Coturnix japonica: one gene and its partners. The protein of the gene in region 3 purifies or fractionates together with the protein of the main gene of each other region. This does not show direct contact. Links are inferred from orthologs where the notes say so. Each region holds a gene or a part of one and is shown on either strand. Other genes may lie near its edges.

Evidence for each region.
Region 1: the proteins of RUVBL1 (region 3) and NOP58 purify together in Homo sapiens (affinity purification with mass spectrometry; 4 studies listed by BioGRID and IntAct, with this or other methods). This does not show direct contact. The link is inferred for Coturnix japonica from reciprocal best matches to the Homo sapiens genes RUVBL1 and NOP58.
Region 2: the proteins of RUVBL1 (region 3) and EFTUD2 purify together in Homo sapiens (affinity purification with mass spectrometry; 4 studies listed by BioGRID and IntAct, with this or other methods). This does not show direct contact. The link is inferred for Coturnix japonica from reciprocal best matches to the Homo sapiens genes RUVBL1 and EFTUD2.
Region 4: the proteins of RUVBL1 (region 3) and DPCD purify together in Homo sapiens (affinity purification with mass spectrometry; 6 studies listed by BioGRID and IntAct, counting the BioPlex papers as one, with this or other methods). This does not show direct contact. The link is inferred for Coturnix japonica from reciprocal best matches to the Homo sapiens genes RUVBL1 and DPCD.
Region 5: the proteins of RUVBL1 (region 3) and EPC2 purify together in Homo sapiens (co-immunoprecipitation; 3 studies listed by BioGRID and IntAct, counting the BioPlex papers as one, with this or other methods). This does not show direct contact. The link is inferred for Coturnix japonica from reciprocal best matches to the Homo sapiens genes RUVBL1 and EPC2.
Region 6: the proteins of RUVBL1 (region 3) and ACTL6A purify together in Homo sapiens (affinity purification with mass spectrometry; 10 studies listed by BioGRID and IntAct, counting the BioPlex papers as one, with this or other methods). This does not show direct contact. The link is inferred for Coturnix japonica from reciprocal best matches to the Homo sapiens genes RUVBL1 and ACTL6A.
Region 7: the proteins of RUVBL1 (region 3) and DKC1 purify together in Homo sapiens (affinity purification with mass spectrometry; 4 studies listed by BioGRID and IntAct, counting the BioPlex papers as one, with this or other methods). This does not show direct contact. The link is inferred for Coturnix japonica from reciprocal best matches to the Homo sapiens genes RUVBL1 and DKC1.

Annotation. Positions count from the first base shown.
Region 1 is NC_029522.1:10,261,229-10,264,728, reverse strand, and holds part of NOP58 (nucleolar protein 58), read right to left. Parts: intron 3,439-3,500; exon of another isoform or gene 3,351-3,438; intron 2,222-3,350; coding exon 2,087-2,221; intron 1,468-2,086; coding exon 1,322-1,467; intron 1,232-1,321; exon of another isoform or gene 1,148-1,231; intron 405-1,147; coding exon 278-404; intron 145-277; exon of another isoform or gene 59-144; intron 1-58. UniProt on the Homo sapiens protein: Required for the biogenesis of box C/D snoRNAs such as U3, U8 and U14 snoRNAs. Part of the small subunit (SSU) processome, first precursor of the small eukaryotic ribosomal subunit.
Region 2 is NC_029542.1:765,795-768,949, forward strand, and holds part of EFTUD2 (116 kDa U5 small nuclear ribonucleoprotein component), read right to left. Parts: intron 3,146-3,155; coding exon 3,034-3,145; intron 2,834-3,033; coding exon 2,693-2,833; intron 2,499-2,692; coding exon 2,397-2,498; intron 2,179-2,396; coding exon 2,096-2,178; intron 1,082-2,095; coding exon 995-1,081; intron 728-994; coding exon 601-727; intron 9-600; coding exon 1-8. UniProt on the Homo sapiens protein: Required for pre-mRNA splicing as component of the spliceosome, including pre-catalytic, catalytic and post-catalytic spliceosomal complexes. Component of the U5 snRNP and the U4/U6-U5 tri-snRNP complex, a building block of the spliceosome.
Region 3 is NC_029527.1:7,160,865-7,163,752, forward strand, and holds the end of RUVBL1 (ruvB-like 1), read left to right. Parts: intron 1-1,401; coding exon 1,402-1,493; intron 1,494-1,811; coding exon 1,812-1,971; 3' UTR 1,972-2,388; downstream 2,389-2,888. UniProt on the Homo sapiens protein: Possesses single-stranded DNA-stimulated ATPase and ATP-dependent DNA helicase (3' to 5') activity; hexamerization is thought to be critical for ATP hydrolysis and adjacent subunits in the ring-like structure contribute to the ATPase activity.
Region 4 is NC_029521.1:19,945,177-19,949,326, forward strand, and holds the start of DPCD (protein DPCD), read right to left. Parts: upstream 2,801-4,150; 5' UTR 2,755-2,800; coding exon 2,715-2,754; intron 2,099-2,714; coding exon 1,974-2,098; intron 1,238-1,973; coding exon 1,104-1,237; intron 1-1,103. Other genes in the region: POLL (DNA polymerase lambda), read left to right, coding at 2,878-3,171, 3,402-3,561, 3,760-4,057. UniProt on the Homo sapiens protein: May play a role in the formation or function of ciliated cells.
Region 5 is NC_029522.1:31,150,190-31,153,689, forward strand, and holds part of EPC2 (enhancer of polycomb homolog 2), read right to left. Parts: intron 2,497-3,500; coding exon 2,163-2,496; intron 964-2,162; coding exon 891-963; 3' UTR 1-890. UniProt on the Homo sapiens protein: May play a role in transcription or DNA repair.
Region 6 is NC_029524.1:15,347,882-15,351,191, forward strand, and holds the end of ACTL6A (actin-like protein 6A), read right to left. Parts: intron 2,929-3,310; coding exon 2,833-2,928; intron 2,532-2,832; coding exon 2,445-2,531; intron 1,856-2,444; coding exon 1,775-1,855; 3' UTR 501-1,774; downstream 1-500.
Region 7 is NC_029519.1:2,073,881-2,076,918, reverse strand, and holds the end of DKC1 (H/ACA ribonucleoprotein complex subunit DKC1), read right to left. Parts: intron 2,879-3,038; coding exon 2,812-2,878; intron 2,202-2,811; coding exon 2,022-2,201; intron 1,804-2,021; coding exon 1,732-1,803; 3' UTR 501-1,731; downstream 1-500.

The DNA of each region.
Region 1 (3,500 bases), on a different chromosome or scaffold from region 3:
AAAGCCAACTTCTCAGTATTTTATCTCAGATTTGACTGGACCGCCAGAAAGGGGCTCAGTGTCTCAGAAGAGGTAGTGACTTAAGTTGCCCTCACATTCCAAGAAGGATTCAGGCCAACCAAGAACTACATCATCACAGACTACTACCGAGCTCACACTCATATTCTCAAGAGATGCTCATCATGGTCTTGCATGATGCCTTCAGCCAATTAGCTCCTGAGAGAAAACTTGTGGTGAGGTCAGCTAAGCTTTATTTACACTGACCAATGTGACCCACCTGCATGAGCAATGAGTCTTGCTCCAACCAGTTCACCCACCATAACGGTGAGATTAGGAGCAATGGCCATCATTCTGTTCTTCAGGTAGTCATACAGCTGTGTCCGATACTCAGAGATCTCAATTACCTGGCATAAACAAAGTTTAGTTACATGAATCAGAATTGGCTGACAGACAAATCTAAGTCCTAAACGAAGGTGGCTACTACCAAGGAGGCTAACAGTGCAAACTACACAATCAAGAGTCAGTTACAGAAAGCTTTATATAGGGTATATTCCCAGAGCAGAGTTCCATCCATGAAGTGTATTGGATTTGTACTGTTCATTCCCTCATGTAACCTATTTTCTCAGCAGAGCTCCTGATAAAGGAGCTGACAACATGCCAAAGACAGCGAAGCAGAACAAAAATACTTAGTAAGGACATTTTCTTTAGGACAAAACCCTGGAACATTCAGTTTTCACATAAATCTTTGTCACCATTCTCTTTAAATAGGATAAATGATCTCTACTTGTTCCATACAAATGCACTCAATTAAAACACACATAAAAAAGCAGCCCAGTCTAGACTGAGAACAGGACTTGCTATTCCTAACCCTGCCACTCCCTGGTAAAGTCACAAAGGGATTCAGTTGGCACCAAAGTCAGAGGGAGTCCATAGGCAATACAAATGAAAGCAGGAGAGGGCTCCGAATTCTTTTTAGGCCTCAGTGCTCCACTTTTAACCCAGGGTTTACCGCCCAGCTTCAAAACTGACAGGCGAAAAAGAGGTTGCGCAGTACCATTTTCTTAAGGGCTTAAAAACACACCAGTGCCAGAATTCCTTCCAAAAGGAAGACACTTGCAGAAGGCTTCAAATAGACATCAACAGATGGAGATGGCTCAGATGAGGTAGTGACTGTGCACCCTCATGTCTGTACATCAGGAAAACCACAATATAGGAATCATCACTGCCATCATGACTGTGTTAGAAAGGGCCTAGGTAGAAGAGTCTCTGACGCTGTTAGGCATTGTGGAATTTCTACTGCTATTCATATACATATGCATACCTGATCACAGAGATGAATTATGTTGTTTATATCTTCTTCTGATACTTCTGTTCCCATGGAAATCTCAGCAGCAGCTTTTACATCCTCCTCAATCTCCTCTGGTAGGATGTCAGAAACATCAGAAGATGCAAAATTTCTTCTATCTCCTGCAGGGGACAGATGAAAGCACGTTTGTAGTGGGGGTGAGATGAGAAGGTATGAAAAGAACAGAAACAGACAAAGATAAAAAGGCTAAAATACAGTCAGTCAAGTCTGCTATCATCCTAACCTAAACTACCAAAATATACGTTGATGTTCAGACCTTATTTACACTACCAAGAAAGGTTAGGTCAATTCAATTTGGAACTAGAAAAAGCCCTTATTCCTTAACACCAAATACTTCACCTTTTCAGTACCTATTTGCTGTAAAATTTTCAGTCACAAGACTACGAAGGAAGAATATCAGTAAGCAGCAGTTACTTTTAACTAACCAGGTCTAAATATCCAAACTGGTCTGATTAATTCCAAGATATGCTGGTGGTCTTCTTTATGCTGGTCATATGATATTAGCGTTATATTACGGTTCAGAATTTCAAACTGCATTAGCATACAGAGGCAACCACACACCACCTCTGTACTGGCCTTATTTGCACTGGTTTAGATGGTAGGATTGTACACAACACCATGACCTGCTGTAGAGCGAGTTGCTGGTCTATAAATCTGTGTCATGACATTTCACGTTAATACACAATGCATCCCCCAGGCTCACGCCTCCTTATTACTCACCAACTTTCCGCACGCATTTACAATAGGTCAGGTTATCTGTGATGATTTTACCCAGCTCAGGGAAGTGCCAACCATACCATTCTCTACAGCGCATGATATAATTATTCAGTTCTTTGTCCAAGTCATCAAGAAGTGCTACGAGAAAGAAGAATGGACTTTTGTTTCTTACAAGGACATTGAAAAATGGTTAACTCTCAAATCAACAAATTTAAACAAAGTAAGCAAAGATAACAGAAGTAGATAAGTTGCTCCAAAAGTAATGCTTCCTATTTATTTCCAGGGAAACTACAACAGATGCAAAAAGCATAACACCACTATTTGATAAAGCAAATTCTCATCTTCCAAATACCTTTTTTCAATGTATTCACCACCATTAGCTATACATATTCATCAGTAATGAAGAAGTCTGCATGCTGCACTAGTAGAAGTCTGTACTAGAGCAGGGACCCAGTGCCATCACTGCCTCACTGCCATCCACTGCCTGGTCTCCAGATACGTTCAACAAGCATCAGTGAATGTCAACGGGTGCCATTTTTTCCACACAGAGGAATTCAATGACCCCTTCATTTCATATATGCATCCATGTCAGATACTATTCTGTAAGACTGTGCCTTTGCTGCCATATGCCACACAGTACCACAATATAACTTGATATTGGTGGGAAGATTCTACTTCTACTGCCATACCGCCAACATTCACCTCTGAACATAATAAAACAGAAGGCATTACTTCTAGAGCAGCCCTTGTTCTATCACAAAGATTTGATGGAATGCAACTTAAGCTGCAGTGAAGTAGAAGTCCTTTGTTTTCAGAGAACTGCATAATCCTAGGCACAGTAGTGCAGAAACATTAGAATTAACACAAACATTGTCTGAAAGTTTAACCGCTGGCACCACTTTGGAGAACAGATGCCTTTAGCAGCTGCAAAGGGCATTCTCTTGGATGGGGCACAGGAGCCACCGTGATTCTCCCTCTCAATCAGAAAAGTGTTCACACACAAGGTAGATGTAACAATTAGCCACCTAATAAACGTTAAAGAAAAAACCTAATGGTGAGAATGTATCTAGTATTCACAGTTACTTGATTGTGTTAAGCCCTTTAATTGTCTTTACACTATAAATGCATCTGACAAATCCAACAAGCTCAGCAGCTAGAAGATACGACTGATAACTGGATTTACAACATCAACATGTAACACCCACGGCATATATTGCTACAGAGCCCTGAGGCTAAAATATTTCCCTCTAATGCAATAACAACATTTCCATCTGTTGTCTCAGTGGTAGTGACGAAGGAACTGAATTAAATCATTATTTTCAGCTTAACTATGTTTCATCATTGACAACAGTCTGGGAATTAATATCCCAAACAGGATTCCTTGCAACTGCTTCACAGCAAGAATGCTGATTATGAT
Region 2 (3,155 bases), on a different chromosome or scaffold from region 3:
TTGTCCACCTATGGACAGAGACAAGGCAGGATCAGATAGACCCCAGTGTTTAACAGTTGTTTATTAGATGAGCAGCCATGTTCTTCTGCACCCTCCTCACAGCTCTGAATCATCATCTTTAAGAGTTTGACATCTATAGTCAGAAGTGAAGAGTGCCTATTTTGGTAATCCTTAAAGACAGGCCGTTCAGTTCTGAGGGTGCTGGCCCAAACTGCGGACTGACAGTTCACCAGCTTTGATATGAGCATAGAGGAAGAAGCTCAATGTATCTGAGACATGACAAACCAACAAGCACTCCTACAGCATTAGAACCTTGCTGCAGGTCCTGGAAGGAACTGCCACCTCTGGACAGAACAGAATAAACATTTCATAGTTTCATAGTTTCATAGTTTCGTGCGGGTTGGAAGGGACCTTAGAGATCATCGAGTCCAGCCCCCGGGATTCGAGCCTCTGTGTAGCAGAGCGGCACTTCTACCACTTGCGCCACAGGGGGGATTCGAACCCCGGGCCCCAGTGTTGCAAGGCGGCGTCTTTAACCACTGCACCACCGGGGCACACAATATATTTCACTCCAATATAACCCCTGTGCCTGTTCCTCACCTCTGAGGGCAGAGTATCATCTACCAGGATGTTTGGGCCAGTGGCATCCGGCCCGAAGGCCCAGATGGAACGGGCAGCCAGCAAATCCCAGTCGTATTTGGTCTGGAAGAATTCACCCAGCTTCTTTCTGATGGAAGAACAGAAGGAAGTTTAGGAAAGCAGAGTCTGATCTGCACTCAGAAAGTAAGTATTTATAAACCTGCTCCACATAAAAACAGCCTCAGCTTTTTACACGAAGCAAACTGTTTGCTGGGCCAGGATGCTCCTGGACTCACTGGTGCACCCAGGATCCCTGCCTGGGAGCTGCTGACTGATCCTTGTGGATCCCAGTGCTCCCTACTTCCCCAGTTATTTCCCTCCAGAAAGATCCTTGCTCCCCCCAGACTGTCCATACCTGTTCCACGTTATTTGGACCACTTCATTTTCAATGTCCTCCGCAAGTCCCTTCTCCAGAGGTTCAGCAATCATCGTGATCTTGTTCCTGAGAAGAGAGACAGTTGCAATTAGTCCACAGAATGACAGAAATGGGAGTAATTGGCAGGACCTCGGGGACTGTGCAACACAGCCAGAGAGATGAAGCCATCCGTGTCTTTCAGCATTACTGTTGTGCTTGTAAAGACAACCCACGCTGCTAACAACTGCTCTCTGAAGTCTGCTCACCTCCAGCAGCAGATTGCTAAGGGACAGGAGTGGCCCCCATCCCTCCCTGCCAGATGTCCAGAGCTCATACTGGCTGCATAAGGAAGTGTCAGACATAAGGGATGTTGCTTTGGACAACGCCACTCACATGGGAACGTTGGCCCTATAGCACGTCACTCCACCTGCCCTGCACCTCTAAGACAGTCTGAAGAGCAAAACCTGTCTGTTCCCAAAAACAAGACTTCCAGCCACAGTATTTCAGTAGAAAAGAAGGCAAGAATTACCAGAAAGCACAGTGGAATACAGGAAAACTATCTCCATTGTATGATAGATCACCATTTCCATGAAAACTCAGGCATTACAACATGCTGTATTACAACATACTTTCATTCTGGTTATTCAATCTATGATTCCATGCCAGGCCTCCCTCCCTCCAACATGCACATCTCCTAACACCTTGCTGGAGCATAAAGACAAGACGGGGTTGTAAGGCACCAGAAAGGAGTATATTAATTTCAAGATTAAGATGAAACGTTTCACAAGTTTTGTGGAATCACTGAAGGCAGTAATGGGCTCTTTGGCAGTAATTGGCTCTATGATCCCAATACACCTCCCAGTCTTGAAAATGACAGAGAACTGCTGAGAGGGTGTGAAATTCAGTTAAAGGAGAATGTGGATCTTTCTTCTATTCCCTCCATTCTGAGCTCACAGAGAACACAGAAACATCTGTGGGACTCAGTGTGTTACTGGGGCTCAGCAGATGGAAGGCTGCCACTTGCCTGGGAGCAGCCCCCTAAGAGAACCCATCCACTGCCTGTCCCCACTGACTGCTCCCATGGCTGCCCTGGGCTCTTACTTCTTATTGGGAGTCTCAGCAAAGCACTTCAGGGAGGACGTTTCCACCACTGTCTCACAGAACGTCACGACCGGATCAGCGACCTGGAACAACAGCATCAGGTTTGTAGAGGGAGTTTGTATTATTTAGATTGACACAGAAGCCCCTCTTACAATATTGCAACAACCTCAGCACAGTGAGGAGGAACCAGAGGCAGACAGTCACCCTGTCAACTGTGCAAGGTTTATTTTCCCATCCTTCTGAGTTTGAAGGACAAAACCCTTCCCCAGCTGGGAAACACCCCCTCCTCCCATTTCCTCACCTTGATATCAATCTCAGAATACATCTTCCGCAGATCATGCATCACGCAATCCAGATAGAGCTCCCCTGTCCCCAGGATCACATGTTCTCCAGACTCTTCCACCTGAAAAACAAGAGAAGGGTTCAGTTCACAGCATTATTGCTCACAGGTCCTTGTCTTGCAGGGCCCCATATAAACCTCAGGATTTACCAGCATTAAAAAAAAACCCAGAACAAACAAAACATCCCCCAGTTAAACTGATTTGTTCTTAAGATCAGCCTATGAGGTATCCCAGAGCACACATACACCAGAAATACCTTTGTGGTAAGCGATGGGTAGCTCTTGTTGACTTTGCGGAGACCATCCAACATTTTGGGGAGCTCAGAGGGGTTGACTGGCTCTACTGCTATTTTGATGACAGACGTAGTGTTGAACTTCAAAGGGCGGAAGATCTGAGCCTGGAATCAAGTAAGGACAAAGAGCTTTGCATCATAGATGGACCTTGGGGTCTAACAGAGCATCTGAGTTGTTCTCCTTCCACTGTTGGCTCTTGTACCCCAGCCCTTGTCTTTATTTAATCTCACCACCTCAGCTTTTAAGATACATTCCAACACCCTAAATTCCTGCAGGGCTGAGTGACAGCAGGCGCACACAGTACCTCCTCATTGCCTCGTGGCTCCGTGACAGTTGCAGTCTTCACAATGGGCTGGTCCACTCCTTCTATCAGCACCCAGTTGCCAGCAGGAACACGGTTAACCTCAATGTGATACCTAAAAGGTG
Region 3 (2,888 bases):
AGTTCATAACCAGTAGAAATCTCATTGTGTGGTTCTGCTGTCAGAAACACCCAGTTACCTTATTGCAACCAGGACAGGGATACAATGATTCTAGGATAACCCCTTTATATGTAGATACTAGTCACACTTCTTCCCTGCTGTTAGATGGAAGAGGTTGCACCTGATGAACAATGGGTGTTAGTTATTTCACCTGGTAAACACTACTTTTCCTATTTGAAGTAAGCGTGTTCGTATGTATTTTCTGGGTTACTGCCTTAGACCCTGATCCTTCAGTGAGATTCTACCAGGTTGCTAGATAAAAAGTTTTAAGAGATAGATAGTTATTCTAAGGTAAGTGGCACTCAAGGTGTCTTGTTTCTAACAGGGGAAGAGTAAAGCAGTAGTATTGGAATGAATGAAAAGTGCTGTTCGGGTGATCTATCGGATGTGACAGGTCTTCAATTTGGAATTGCAGTTTGCAGGGGCCATTTCTGATATTCAGTATTAATGTCTTAGCACAACTTTCTGCTATTTCAAACCCCTCTTTTACTCTCTTCCCTACCCTGACTCCCCTGGCGCATTTTTATGGCTTTAATTTAAACAAGTGCTTCTTGATATCTTGTTTACAAAGCTGCCAAAGTGAAAAATACCTGTATTATATGAGGCTTGCAGTTCCAGAGTTATCTCAGCACTACAACACAACATCATTATCCAGTCTGCCCCTTATCACTCGGCTGGTAATACGGACTACCGAGAGACTTGCGCCACTTCTGTTACAGCTTTATATGCTCAGGCTTATTGTGATATCTTGCTCTCCAACTTTGTGAAGATCTGCAAACTGGTACAAGCCTTAGGACTGTTCTTGAAAGATTAGATTTTTCTTAGTGATTTTTTTTCTTCTTGCATGAATAGGTGAATCTAAGAAAGTAACTTTTTGATTTATTTTACAATTGTATTGTCAACGGAATAAAAAGTGCGTTGTGAGCTGCTATGGGAAGTGTAGCTTTGTGTAGGGCTTGTTGGAACACACAACAATACACTGCAAAATGTAGGAACTGGTGTTGCTGCCCACAAGGCTCCAGCTGTTGCCATTATTCTCTGTGTACTTTATCGATTTCCTTGCATAATTCTCTTACTCTGCTTCTCATTAGTAGATCCACCTTGCGAACCATGCACAATCATCACAAAGTACAGTCAAAACATCAACCTGCTTTTATGATTATCAACATGATGTTTGCCCATTCAAAGACGGAATTCCACAGATCAGTTGTAGTGTAGAGGTAAACTACAGCAGGATAAGTTCGTACCGTATCATTTTATAGCACATCCCCATTGCTAAGCTGACAGTGCATCTAGGAAATAAACTAAGTAATCTAACATGCTAACAGCCTGGGCTGTTACCTGACTTACTTATTCCAACAGATCATAAAACTTCGTGCCCAGACGGAAGGAATTAATATTAGTGAAGAAGCTCTAAATCATTTAGGGGAAATTGGAACCAAAACAACCTTAAGGTGAGTTGAATGCAATTGGTTTTTCTCTCATACTTTGTAAGCATGACCGGGTCTTAAAACTCCATAGGATAATTCACTCTTGAAGCAAGACAGCTCACTCCCATACTGTAACACTGTGTTAAGAAGACTTAACACTGCTAAAGGTTTGTAATGCTCCTGTTGCCTTGTTTAAGGGATGTACCAGCTATAGAATCTTACAGATTTCTTTTTATATGACTAGAGCTGTGTGTTACTTAATAATTCTCCCACCCATACATTTATTCAGTTCACTGGAATGCACTGATCTGTAATTTTTCATCCATCTGTGTTTGGTCACAGGTACGCCGTGCAGCTACTGACCCCAGCTAACCTGCTTGCCAAGATTAATGGGAAAGACAGCATTGAGAAGGAGCATATTGAAGAAATAAATGAACTTTTCTATGACGCCAAGTCCTCGGCAAAAATCTTGGCTGATCAACAGGAGAAGTACATGAAATAAGCTTATTACATTAGATGCCTTGAAGCGGCGTTAACCCTTACCCAGGGCTGGCTTAAATAAGAAATGTTAATGGTTTGTCTCTTTTGGGACTGGAAAAATATTTAAATGTTGGACTGCTTTGTCAGGCCAGAATTAAATAGCAAGTGTTCTTATTACATTGTCAATGATAAGATGCTCTATGATATCTCTGTAACATCTTAGTCTCCATTTTATGAGTACCTGTGAAATGAATAGCTCTTGAACCACCAGTGTTTTTTAGATTTCATTACGGGAGAGCTCTAACTGAAGCTGATGCTTAAAAACAGTCTATTTTCTTTATGAATCTCCTTTTAAAATAGTTTCCTTTTACAGATGACTTTTTGGTTTTGAATCAAAGTTTGTCTGAAGTGGTTTATAATAAAGTATTTCAAGATCTAAGAACAAGTGCACGTTGGTGAAGTTATTGACCCTGACATTCCCTACTATAAAAGTGACTTAAAACCACTTACTGTTCATTTGGATTCAATATTGTTTTGATCACTTACTACTGTCACAGTCATGTGAAAACCTGCCCCATTCTTCAATATGGATTTTAGTATTGCCAGCCAGCCCTAATTATTTTCTGTGCTTTAAATGATGTGCCTACTCCATTCTCTACATCTGCACCTAAACAGCAGTGACAGAGATATGTAATGAATGATGTTTTTTGTTAAATCTCTGACTATTTTTGGCCAAGGAGCAAATCCTGCTTTCAAACCTGAAACCTCTTTCTGACTCCAAATGCACAAAGATGGCACATAGAGCACTAACCCGCATCCCTCAGAGCCATGTCTGCAGGGACAGTGACTCCTCCACTTCCCTGGGCAGCCTGTTAGTTTGATGCCCCGCTCACATGGTGGCAGAAGACCTGCTGAGTCAATGAGGAGTGGACTTCTACA
Region 4 (4,150 bases), on a different chromosome or scaffold from region 3:
CCCTTAACTTTCATCTGCAGGCCACGAGCAGCTTTCATGTCCTTCAGCTATCTCTGATACTGTGAGTGTGTAGCTGCAATATGATTGTGGGACAACTCTATATGTTATCCTGAGAATGGTACAAAAAACCTTGAAGTCAGGTAGGACATAGGTGAAACCTTAGTGTATGTTATAACCTTAGGTGTCTCGGTTCTTTTCTTGCAAATCCTTCTCTGTGGACTCAGGCCAGAAACTTTCTGTTTTAGCACTGAATCCGCTTTCATAGGGCAGACCTCCCCTCCCTACTGTCAGCTTCCTCGTACTTTTGAGCATCCAGGTGTGCCCATCTGCAGAGCTTAAACTTTCCCTTGCCATGGTCCCTGATGTGGTAAACTATTGCCGGAAAACTGGGTTCTGCTGTCCTGAAAGCTGTTCAGTTCCCAAGGCAGAGCGAGTTCTTTGCCAACAGCACCACCTACAGCCAGCAGCAAGGTGCGGTTGAAAGAGGGCAGGGTGCAGGCTGGAAAGCAGAGCTGTGGTTTTTACCCACGAACCTGATCCTCCCGGGTTCTGCAGCAATGCTGGGGAGGAAAGGCAACCAAAGGACAGGCTGCCCAGCTTTTCGTACTGGTGTATTTATCCCAGTCTTTCACTGGCCTTCTAACATTCTCTCTTGTTTTCCTAACGCTCCCTCCTTGCCATCTCTCCCCAACACTCCTGCTCATCCTGGCCTATTCCACTGAGGTAGTTAAGGCTCAATGATGCAATGGCTAAACCAAAGTACTGTGTCTCAGGAAGAGGATGGGAAGCTCTAGCTTCCACAGGTCTGCAAAGGTATTATTTCATTTCTCTTTGGGAATAATATTTGACAAGAAAAGAACAGACTAAACACCTTGCTAATGAACTGTGAGATAAGTCTGCAAAGTCCACTGCTGAGCTTGAGGGGCTTTTTGGTCAGTCTGAGGCAGCTGGAAGTGGAAACTGCAGTTGGCATGGCTCTTTCTGTCTAACGTATGGTACCTCAAAGGCAAGAAAGGACATCGCCCCTCTGCCAACACCACCCTGCCCTCTGTGCCAGCCCACCCTGAGGGACTATCAGCACTGGCAGTGCTGTTCTTACTGACTTCTTGTTTGTGGTCCGGATAACACAGCAGCGCTGCTCCTTCTCCACAGTGACACTGTAGACCTCCTTGGGGTAGGGCAGGTTACGGATCCGCCACTGGAAGCTGGTCAGGGTGTCCTTCCTCATGAAGACAGGCTACAGCAAACAAGTACCTTTAGCAAAACCCCTCCATCTGTCTCCTCTCTCCTCCTTGTACCCTTTTCTCTTACTCACATGGGAGTATCTCTTCTTTCCCACTGGATTATTAAGGAACAACTCAAGAAACTGCCTGAGCATCAGTTCTGAAGGACTAGCATTTACTAAGGGTGTTGCCTGCTCTGCTTGTAGGAGGCTGAAGGCATTCACCAAGGGAGTCCCACAGCAGTGTTACAGTGAAACTGGGCTTCTGCCCCAGTCTGCTGCGCAGAGCTGCTCTTGTGTTTCAGATCTATAGAAAAGAAAGTGAGAGGCTAAAGCCTCCACCCCTACACTAGTGGGACAGGAGGTAAAACAGCCAGTGCTGTGTTAAAGAGCAGCCTGTTACACACTGCCTGTGTTGGCTTTTCACTGTTATCACCTCACTTTCCATCCACTGATTTGTCCTGGCTCTGGCCTTCCTTTCAGCCTACTTTTGTGGAAGCTAGCACAATAGCTGGCTACCACAGCAAAACAGTTTCTTGGTTTATGGGAACCACAAATCTCCTGGAGACCTCAAAAGAACCTAAACCGTGCCCTCTTTCTCCCCAGACCTTTGGGATTCTTTGTAGCAGAGCACTGGGCAGGTTAAGGCTGTCTCTTGGGGCAGTGAGTGATCTACAGCCTACTGCTGTTAAGTACAAGGCTGGGTAGATAGTTTTAGGTGCAGACCTAATGCCTGCAGGCTGTTACGTACATTAGAGCTGCTTTCCTTTATGAGCTCTGTTTCTAGTGGCCCCAGGAGAGGCAAAGTTGGGTCTCCCACTTCAACCTGCCATTTGCCAGTGCCCCCGAGGGTGTTCTTCTCTCGCCACCTTCTACCTGTAGAAGGGAGAAGAGATTCTGTTATTCTGCTTTATAGGAAGAACTCCAGCAAATTACCAACAAAGATGCCCAGCACCTTAAACTGAAATTACAATAAGCCATTTCCCTTAATTTCAATTATTTCCACTTTGGTATAAGTGGATCAGTTAGCTGGACTACTCCCGAATCCAAGAACTGTGCACTAACTGCCTCTTTTTTGCTATTTGATCCTGAAGCCATAGTAGGTTCACAACAGATGCCATGCCTCAATTGTGGTTTTGGATAAGATCTGTGACCAACACCTTGTCTGTCTGTGGCTGCAGAAGCCACCAAAAGGCATGTTTCACCCTAGCACATGCCTCAGCACATGCCTGGCTGTGCGAGCTGGCAGTCCCATTCAGTGCCATTAAGTCTGTTGTGAGTGACAGGCAGTTTGGGAGTGATCCTGGGCTGAAGCAAAGATTGCTCAAGGAAGTGAGAAGACCTTAGGCCTAATCAACCATAGTTATGTCCCTTCATAAGGGAGGGGGAGCTCCAGGAACAGTTCAGGTATATTTAGGGGCGCTTCCTTCCTGCCCAGACGGTGCCTCCCCCCACTCCAGCCCTGCACATACCGACCCATCACCCCACTTACTCAGTAACTGGCTGGTCTTCATGTCGTACTCCTCAGCCATCTCCTTCCCATCCTCAAACTGGTAGTGGATCTTCCGTTTCCCTAGAAGCAGAGCAGGGGCTGAGATTCAATAGGAATAGCTTTACCCCTGTGTGTAGGGCTCGGTACCCCGTTTCCTTGCACGATGGCAGCAGCACAGGGCCGTGTCCCCACGTTTACAGACCCGTTTCCGCCCATAGTGCCCAAGCCTCGCTCTCTTCCCGCAGGGCCTCCCCAAAACACCCCGGTGGGAGATAAGAGTAATGCGGGCTCCCACCCCGGCTCTCCGCTTCCTTTACCGTCCTGCAGCAGCGCGGTCTTGCTGGCGGCCTGCAGCCTCTCCAACCAGCTCGGTACCGCCATGGCGGCCGGGGCCCGTGGCCACGGCAACGCTCACACTTCCGCCGCCGCCCGGAAGGCCTCTGCCGGCGACCCGGAGGTGAGTGCGGCCTAGCGCGGCTGTGTGAGCCCCCCTCCGCTCTATGGGCTCCGGGCCTTCTGTCAGCCCTATGGGGCCCTCACAGGGATCGCTGCCAGCCCAATTCCCCAACAACAGCAAACCAGCGGTACCGACCGACAAAGGCCATAAGCAAAAGATGCGAAAATTAAGTTGTTTTTGATTGTGTGTAACTGTTTTAAGCAGCTTTCTCTGTTCTTACTGCTGTTCAGCAGCTGCAGCTTAACTTCCCCCCAGGGGAGCGAGGCACAGCCCGGCCTATGGAACCACGGGGGATTGTCAAAGCCTTTCCCAAGAGGAAGAAGGTGAGGGAGGACTCGGGGAAAGGCGTCCCTCCAAAGATCCCAAAGGAAGGAATGGAGGAGCCCGAGGGTAAGTCCCATGTCCCATGTATAGGATGTAATTGGAGGTGCTGTGCCCTAAAGGCTTCTTATGGCCCAAGTGTATTTTCTGAAGAGGTCTGGCTGGCTTCAATGTGTCCAGCCCATGTGCCACCTAAGATATGTAGCACATTTAGTTCAGGACACTGTTTCTCTGTCATTGATTTCCTGCCTCTGTGCTTTTCCACAGCGGAGTGGCTGAAGCCAGTCAGTGCCTACGTGCTGCAAGCTGGCATTGGCCAAGCTAGAGCAGAGATCTTCCACAAGCAGATTGTCCAGAATGGAGGATGTGTACACAACCGTCTCTGCTCAGAGGTGACTCACGTCATTGTAGCTGAAGATATGGACTGTGATCGGGCCTTTCGGCTCCTGAAATTAGCCAAGCTGCCTTCCAGGCTGCAGCTGGTGAAGGCATCCTGGCTCAGTGATTGCATTAGAGATCAGAAGCTGCTCAGTACCGCTGGCTACAGTGTCTTTGTCCCTCGGAGGTAGGCACGTCATGCCGTTTTTCCTCTCTATCGTGCCTTAATCCTAAATTGAATCGCACTAAACTTTGACCCCCGCTCACAATCGCAGACTAC
Region 5 (3,500 bases), on a different chromosome or scaffold from region 3:
AATTATTGCAATGATATATAATGCAATACATACCTGGTAAAATGTCCTTTACGTGGTGTGTTACAGTTTTAAAGCCGGTTAAAATATGCAGTCTTCGGATAAAATGTCATTGGTTGAAAATTTTCTCTTATCTGCACAATTTTATATGTGTCAGATGCATAATTTTCCTAGTCAGCTTTTTTTTTTCCTGTGTAATTATTTTTTATAAACTGGTATTATAAATAGAAATATACATTCAAAATATATGGAAAAGTGAGTTACTACATTAAATTTGCATGTATCGATCCATCCCTTTCCCCTGCACAGTAATAGAAAATACTATTTTGCCTTGAACTTCATATTTGACAGTGAAATGCCACTAAAGTATTTACCAAAAAGTCCATCTAGTCAAATTGTGAAACAAAATGAACCAAGTGAAAACTTTACATTTCCTTTAGAAAAAAATTACAAGAATTTTGTCTCCTAGCTATGAATCTTTAACTTCTTTTTTTAGACACAAAGTTGGATTTATTTGTACAAGATACAAAATGTAAACATGGCAAAATAAATAGTTAAAACAAGTGATGCAGGATCCCATTTCATGCTCATGATCCCATTAAAGAATTATTTTTTAATCCATTCAGTTGCAAATTCAAGTGCAAAAGCATGATGATGAATATCTACTATTCAAGTAACAGAAATAATATTGATGATACAAATAAACTATTTTACAAGGTAGTGATTCTCCCAATTTTACAAAATTTACATTATATATCGACTTAATACACGATATAAGGATAGTCCATTTAGGTCCATTTTAGTTCTCTGTGATCCACAGAGTGCTGTATTTTGCATTCGGTTGGAATATAAATGACTACACCGTTAGCACAGGTTGAGACACTGATTTGAGGTTATGTCACTTCCATTGCTACTGTTGTCTCTGCTATGCCGTTCAAACCCAGCCGCTCTGGTTCATGGTTCTCTCTGTAACAAAAGAAGCATTCCACAATTACAGGTAGAACACGGATATTTCCTTATGCAATTTCAGTGATTTCTTACAGGCTCTGTGCTCTTACATGGCTATGGACAAACCTTAACATACACACTAGATAGAAACAGACCATTTAAAGCTGAAATACTGGTGGTTTAAGAATGGCTTTAACCCCATGAACATTGCAGTTCCTTCTACAAGAGTATTAGCAGAGATGTCCCAACTTCAATGCATTTAACTATAAATTACCAGCCCAAATTACAGATAATAATAAGTCTCCTGAAGGAACAGAGTCACGGTATGCCATTAGGACTTGTGCAACAGCTACCAATTATTCCATTTGTGAACTATTTTTTTCCAGTTCAGTTTCAGCACAAAAAAAATTCTAATTTCTTTCTGACTTTATTACCATCCCCTGTAGAGGAGCCTTAGGTCTATTCAGCTAAGATGGTTCTTTTTCAGGCATATGCTGACTTGACTTGAAACACCCCTGTGACTCGATGGAAACAAGAGCTAAAGGCACTAATGATACAGGAATACGCTTTAAAGCAATTGCTAATTTAAAAACAGCTTTTCCACTCTCTGCACAGGGACTGTACTATACGTGTGGTTCTCCATCTCAAAAGCTCTTTTTAACAACTCTGGATATGTCATGAAATAATCCATAATGGATAAAGCTAATGCTCTTTTTCTGCTTTCTTAACCTATAGACAAGTATTTCTTTTTTGCTTTTAAAGCATCATACAATCCAGCAGAGACCTTTACAACAGAGCCCAAATGCTGTCATTTGCAAAACATAATCAGCTACAAGCCACTGCCACTCCTGTGGAACACTTAAGTACTGGCTAAGTACTCGTAAATGAAAATAATTATACATTATAAAGGCATGCATAGTAAGAGACAGACTGGCTTATATCTGTTTTCTATTTTGAATTCAAAACGTGTATGCACACATACATATGTATAAAATAGATATGCCAGCCTGCATCTTACATTATGGGTACATATAGCTGCAGAGAGAACACATGGAGAGTTTGAAAGAATCTACTTGGCAAGTGCTGAATAAGAAGGGACAAATGAAAATGGTTAGAATGAAGCCACTTAAACACAATGGAAGACGACCAAAACTAGTGTGCTCCAAACTGGCAGAAGTTTTAACTGGAATCTGTGCTCTAACTTGCTCTGCGCTTACCTTGCTATACTGCTGATGGCACTGCTAGGAGTTACCTTTGGCACTCTGTCCATACTGGCAGCAACTGTGGCAAGTTTTAAGGCTGTTGGCGATGGTGCTGAAGTCCTTGTATTAATATGCACATTGACTGGAGAAACAACGCTGACATTGTTGAGGTGCACTGCATTAGTCAGGCAAGAATTGTTCATGGGAAGTGTTTGAGGGCTGCTTGTGCACAACGCTGGAATTAAGTGGTTTGTGGTGGTGTGGCCAACTGTCCTTACAAGCTGTACAGCTGAAATCCCTGGGCTGGATGATAAAGCCATGTTGGTGGAGTACAACGTTCTAGAGGTTCCTGTTGCAAAGCAAATGTTTTTAATTAAAACATGCCATTTAGATTTAAAGACAAAAGGTTAAATCTCAACAGTAATGATTTAAGCATGTGAGTCACTGGAATCATCCCTGTGTTAACTGCTTTAAGGACTCAAACAGATGAAAAGTCTTAGAATTCTTTCCAGTCAAGCTTAGGAGTATTTTAAAAGTGGGGGTTTTTTTTTGTTTGCTTCATTCACAAAGACATCAGAAAGTGGAAGAGTCTGTAGTGTCAAAGAGCTTTTATATTTTCCAACTTCATGCACTTCAATTTAGGAGTCTTAAAGTGCAGCATTCCCCATAAAAGTACATCATATGGGACCACAGCTTAGCCAGGCAACTATAGAGACTGAGTGAGAAGCCAAGTTCTGATGCTTTGAATCACCTCCTCCCTTATCTGACTGGCACCACCATGAGTTACTTGGGTCTTCAAGGCAACAGAATGAGGAGTACAGGACCCCTCCCAGCTTACAAAGCAGTGCTGTCTGTATTCAGATGGTGGGAGAACTTCAGGCTCTAGCTACAATCAAGCACAGCACATACTCAAACTGGTGGCTCTCAGGATTCCTCTTCCTATTCACTGATGGAAAAAAAAAAAACTGGGTCTAAGAACATTTCTCCCTATTCCTACAAAAAGCTGGTTTTAGTCAATATGTCCTAATTTAAATCTTCCTATCTGAAGCTGGAATGGCTGTTTTACATCAGTGACATCTACAGCCTTGGAACAGTAACACAAATCTAATTTTATATGCATATCTGCAATATTTTTCATCAACTGTAAGGCTATCGTGCTGATACATGGTACACACACATACACCTGATCCTGTATCCCTCAAAACATTACACTCTCAGATCTGATATTTCAGCAAGTTATACACAGTTGCCCTTTTCTTTACTGGATCAGTTCCAGTATATTGATTTTATTCAGCTGTGTTGCACTGCTCTCCCCCTCACACTTCTACTTATTTCACTATTCAGCCTAGCAGA
Region 6 (3,310 bases), on a different chromosome or scaffold from region 3:
CTTCATACCTACATTTCTAGATACCTCTGACCAATTCAAACATTCAAACCAGAAGGCTGGTAGTAGTCTTCTCTGCAATTTAAGTGGAAAGGTAAGGAATCTCTTCCTTACCACTACCATGGTACTGTAGTTTTGTAAAGATACAAAGCAGATAATCACTGAAACTTAAGCGCATGTCACAGAAGGAAAACTTGAAACTTATAATTGATTCATGAAGAAGCAAACAAAGCATCTACTTTTCCTCATTTCAATCAACAAACTGTCAGATCAATTTTAGTATTTCAGTGATGCTACAGTAACTTCTAACACAGTTCTGATCTGCTAAGATCCAAGTCCAGCTGGCATTCCACATTCTACTTGAACACTAACTCAATCAAGTGTTCTCCTTCCAGCATGACAACAGCAGGCGATTTGTCATGCAGTGCAGCTGACTTAAGTTTGCCTCATTTTCTGACAGAAATACATTTTCAAAGTATTTGACAAACTATAAAACAAGCAACTTTATCCAAGAGTCAAATGATGTTTATTATGGTATGACAAAAACAGGCTGTTTTGATAAATTATTTTATTGCTCGGAGGTAACATGAAACTTTTCAACTAGAGTCCCCATCCCTATTTACCCTTGAGGTCTTCTAGGATACTGAAAAGGTAGCAGTACTGTTCACTTAGTTTTACATCAGTTAAATGCTATTTGGTTTTCCACAGCCTCTAAAATAAGGAACAAAATTCCACTGTGCCACAATACAGAACATCATGATGTTGTGAAATAGAGTGAGCTAAACAGCAACACAGAGCTGCAGCTTGATAGCAGATCCTGCTGAAAAAAAAAACCAATAAATCCCCCCTCCTTTCTCTGCCCAAGCGCACACACCCCATACTAAATGCAGGCACTTACTGACGATGCCAAGAGTCAGCTAAGGGAGCTAACCCAGCAAAGAACAAATTGTAACTGCTCCTCTAAGTTACAGTTCACTGTAAAATGTAAAGCCACATCCTGAGGTCTATGACTATTCTGCTAGTCTTGGAAAGAATTTGCTGCCTTACATTCCCCGTCTCTAAAAAGCTCTGCTTCTCATCTACATCACTAAGGCATTCTGCAGATTATATACATTCTTAAAAACTAGCTGGAAAACAATAAAGGTTTACTGAAATTGCTCCTTAATGGAAAATTAGCAGACCAGTGTCTAATATAACATTCACTAAATGGAATGTAGCACTTTCATCAGAGGGTAGAAATTTACACTGAACTGAGTCACCTACAGTAGATTAGTAAATACGAACTCTGACTTTTAAAACAGAAGCGTAACTTTCTCTGCAAGTACTCACAAGGTTGCTCAAATACAGAAGAGCAAGTTTTATTTTTAAGAGAGAAGTAAGAGCAATTTAAGGCCAAAGTACCAGCAAAGGAAGACTAAGATGTGAAAGTAGACAAGAATTTCTTGGTAAAATTGTGCAGACATCTGCAAGGTTACGCCTCTCTTAGCTAACCTGTAAAGCTGTTCCCAGGAGAAGATACTAGAGAAAATAGACATTTATACAAAATTATAAAATACTTGTTATATGAATTATTGCTTTACAAAGGACACCAACATCCTTTTTCTATTAGGTACCAATTAGGTCTCTCAAAACTTGTAAGGTCTGTTAAAAATGGAACTTGAATTACGCAAAAAATCCAATATAAACTTTCTACAAAAAAGTCCATCCCATTCCTGAGTATGCTAAAGCTCTAAGTCAGAAGAAGCGCTGAGAAGCAGCAGTTTTCACATTAAGAGATTTAAGGACATTTTCTTTCTACGCATTGTTTCCCTCCTTCTTCATATTCTTGTTTAGAAATCCACATTTGTTGGAAAGTACCCTACAAAAACAAAACAACAAGGCAGAAACATGGAGGTTAGGTGAAACACGCTGCACTTCTCATTAAGGGAAAAACAAGAAAATCTTCACATCAAGTAAAGAAAGAGGATTTGACTCCACATGTTTCATTAGCTTTTTCCTTTGATTTTTTTCCTACTGGTGATTAAAACTCAGACTGAAAGTTGCAGGACCAAAAGCTGATTTCAGCTAATGAAATTCCCACAAACCACACCAATGCTCAGTAACCTGGACAATCAAGTTCATGCACATGATAAAGAAATGTATTTACACCCTTCACAGTGCACTATCTACACTATATTTTTAGACACCGCATTTCAAGCCTGCACATTCCCATTTAATATAGAACCACAGAATCACAGAATTGTAGGGGTTGGAAGGGACCTCTAGAGATCATCAAGTCCAACCCCCAGCCAAAGCAGGTTCCCTACACCAAAGAAGAAGGTGGCAAATTACATTCAGATTGATTGGAAAGGTTCAGATAATTATTGCTCCATTAGCATGAACTCTTCAATGCATACTTATATGACATTAACTTCTGCTGCAAAATGTAGTAATGTGGGTTTACTAACCAAAGAAGCCAAAATTGAACCACCAATCCATGAGCTGAACCTCCGCTCCACTGTGGTGTTGTTTGCTATCAATTTCAGACGCATGCTCTGCATAGAAAATGAGGTGAAACAAAAGAAAAACACTCAGATACAAATTGCAGGAGACTGGTGCCCTTTAGTAACACGAGGACAACACAAAGAACTCTGTGTACGTGTTATCATGCTGCTGGAAAAGATCAATCTTATTCAACTTACAACAAAGCTCATCTGCCCTGTATTTAGAATCCAAGAAAAGCTATGCTGCAACAGAAGTATATGATGTTTTTATCTTGTCTCTCAACAGAGACCATTAGTAAATGCAGCAGAAAAGCAACATGATAAGTAACAGAAATGTGAAGTGTTGTCTTACCGGTGGAGTTTTCTGAGACAGCTCCCTGTTCAATCTGTCTGTGAAACTCTGTATTAGTGTGTTCCCTCCCGCTACAATCACACTGCCATAGAGGCCCTGAAATGAGAATCAGCAACCTATGTTAATTCTGAAATCATTCTGAAAACAACTCACTCAGAGTAGAAAGGAATGACACACGATTACATAGAATCAATAACAACAATAATGTATCACATCTTATAAACAATACTGCATCTCACAATTAAATTTATTAATTGTATGAAAAACATCTAATAGGAGCTCAATAATGTACTACATAATGAAAATAGGAGCTGAGATTAACAATCCTAAATGATTTCACAGAATATTTTCTTCAATTAGAAGGTCACCCACACAAACATCCTATATTGAAACTAATGGTTTCCTTTCAGCTCAATCACAGAATCAGTTTGGGAATGTCCCATAAAGATCATTGACTCCAGCTCCTGGCTCCAACTGG
Region 7 (3,038 bases), on a different chromosome or scaffold from region 3:
CTGGGCAAACCATAACCATTGTAGGTGCAAGAATGTTGTGTGTGTTCAGCACTTGGCTGGGGGAAGGGGTTTAAACAAGTCTTGTGCAAGTTTTAGGTTTGTTTTTTTTTTTCTTTTTAAAAGAAGCCAAAAATAAAGTCTGTTGATGTGCAATAGGGACCTTTGTTCTGATCCACTGCAGGGAAACAGCGAGCAGCAATAAACACGTGCTGAAATGAGTTGCCAACGAGTGCTGTGTTACCTCAGGCTGCTCCCACCTCCCTGAGCTCAAGGCAGCAAGGTAAGGCTGAGGGAGCACAGAGCTCTCCAGGACAAGTAAAGCAGTAAAGCAGTTGGGCTTGCAGGCACGTCCCACTGGGTTTTACCCCCAGGCACCTCTACTGAGTGCTCAATGTACCCACAGCCTGTGCACACTTACTGCCTGCCCTCCCCCTGAGCAGCCCAAGTGGTCTGAGAACTGTTCCCTGCTTGAGGAGTCAGGTAAGCAAGAAAGTCACCCATTCAAAAATAGGGCTTTTATTATTAATTTTCTTTAATATAAAAAAAAAGTGAATAAAAATTAACTTCTTTTCAACCCAGGTTCTGACAGCCGTTGGTTGCTGTCCGCACTGACTGCATCTCTAGCATTGAAGGGAAAAGTCACATTTAAGACTAAAGCAATTGAGGAGGCTAAGACAAACGTTACAGGATCTCTGCAGGGAGAGAGCTCAGAACAAAGCAGCCAGGGTCCTTCCCTACTAAAAGAAGCTAAAATCCTGGCACTGTTCCTGACTCAATGATCTCTAGAGGTCCCTTCCAACCCCTAAAATTCTGTGATTCTGCCCCTGCTGAGCACAACTCCCTTAACACTCAGTGCCCCTGTGCATAGCTGCCAAGCCTGCATTCACAAGCCCTGTAATAAGCCCAGCTCTGCAGCTCCTGCAGCTGCACCCCCCACCTAACGCCTCCTGAGCATATTAGATACCAAAAACCAGCAGAGGCAGCTGAGAGGGCTGCAGCCCCGTTCCAATAACTGGACTGGAGCCAGCACTGGCAACATGACTGGGACACACTGGGTCTGGGATCAGCACACAGCTAACAAGCAGGTCCCCACACTAAAAAGCACAAAGCAGGAATTTCATGTTCTAATCCTTTTATGATGGAGTTGAAAAGAGGTACCAAAGAATGGACATCTGCGTCAACTAGCTGAGGGTCAGGCCAACTATATGGCCAGGTTAAAACCAACCAGAGCCCCCAAATAACCGATTCAGCTGTCTCCAGAGGAGCCAAACCCTTCCAGATGGCCATGGCAAGGCCAGTCCCTCCAGACACAAGCACATTCTGTAACTGTCGGGTAACAGTTTTGACACTGGAAGAGAAGGAAGAGGCAGGAGAGAAAAGGGAAAGTGTTGTTTCTCCCTTTCACGGTGAAAACAAACCCCAAAGAGCAAGGAGCTGCATCTTCCCTGAAGATACCACTTCAACTGGCATCAAGGTGTCCAGCTTCACAGAGCAATTCAGTGCAGGGCCAGTCGGGCACCACACTCCTCTGGCTACCCTTAAAACAGGATGAGGAGGGGTGCTGGAGCAGGGCACATCCTGGGCAAACAACTTCTCACTCATATGCACAGCAGAAAAGAAACTTGGAATTTGCTGGCCCCTCAGCTGCACGGGCAGTCCTCTTTTCCTCAAGGTCTCAGACTTCTCCCTCCCTAACGATGAGGTTTGCCTGCTTTGGACAGATCCAGCTGCTTACTCTGAACTCTCTTCTACCTCCTTCTGTTTCTTTTTCTTCTTCTTCTTCTTGGTGCTGCTTTCACTGATCTGCAAAGAGGATCGAGAGTTCAGGAATTAATCCAAAAGGCATCACTCACTGCTCATCTCAGGATGACAATGCAGCCCACATGAAGTCTAACACAGCACTCTCAGTAAAACTCTTTCACCTCCCATTGTTTCACACACAGCCCCAGGTGTCCAAACATCACACACGCTTATCCCAAGTGCCCAACAGACAGCAACTCTTCCCAATGCTTGAACCATACCATGGCAGCACTGTCACATGCCACTTCTATTTGTTCTTCCCCACTCTCAGCCGCTTCTTTGGCTTTCTTTTCTTTCTTCTTCTTCTTCTTCTCCTTTTTGCTCAGCTCCTCTGGTGGTGGAGTGGCTGGGGATGGTGGGGGGCTCTCAGCCTCATTTTCACTCTCTGACTCTCGCTTCCTCTGTTAGGAAAACACATTGTCAGACCATTTTCCAAAGGAACTCAAGTGTTGGAAAAGCTGTTTGCAAGCCTTTCACAACTGCTTTTTCCCCCGACTTCTTAGTAAGCAACACTTCAAACATGAGTGTGAACCACAGACTGCCAGAAATCCCTTCCATCATACAGCAGAGGGATTCCTTCCTGCCAGAATTACACCCCAACTTCTTAGTGCTCCCTGTACCCCAAATCCTCCTATTCAAAACACTGCTGCACTACCTGCAAGCCTTTATTTATATCCTTACATCAGTGCAGAACTCCTAACTCAGGGAGCTCCATATGCAGTATTTGCTTGGACTCCTTAGATGAACCAGATGTACTCCAGAAACGTTCTCTGGCACAATGACCTGGCACTGTAGCTCCATCCAGTGTATTTCTTTGGATGCTGCAGCTTTTACAGTACTCCTCATTCCCACTTACTGTGCTGCACTATTCACAGACAGAGACCAAAAGGACAGAGCAGTGGGAGCACTCTCAGCTCTCACACAGACAGGTTCTACCATAAAAGTAAGCCCAAGATCCAAAGCAGCCTTCATAGCCCAGACAACCTTAAACCAGAGAGCAGCAATACTCACTTTTGGAGCCCGTTCCACCTCTGACACAGCCTGGGGAACTTTAGCTACCTCTTTCTTGGACGGCTCTCTAAAAGAGAAGAGACATCGAGCTGAGTGGGACTGCTGCTGCCTTCCACCAGTACAAAGCCCCCTCCCCCTCACAAGGGTTCCCTAACCCACACAGACATTGGGTAGGGGGGCTAAATGTGGGGATGACTTGCAGACTGCACCAGTGCCAGCTGGACAGG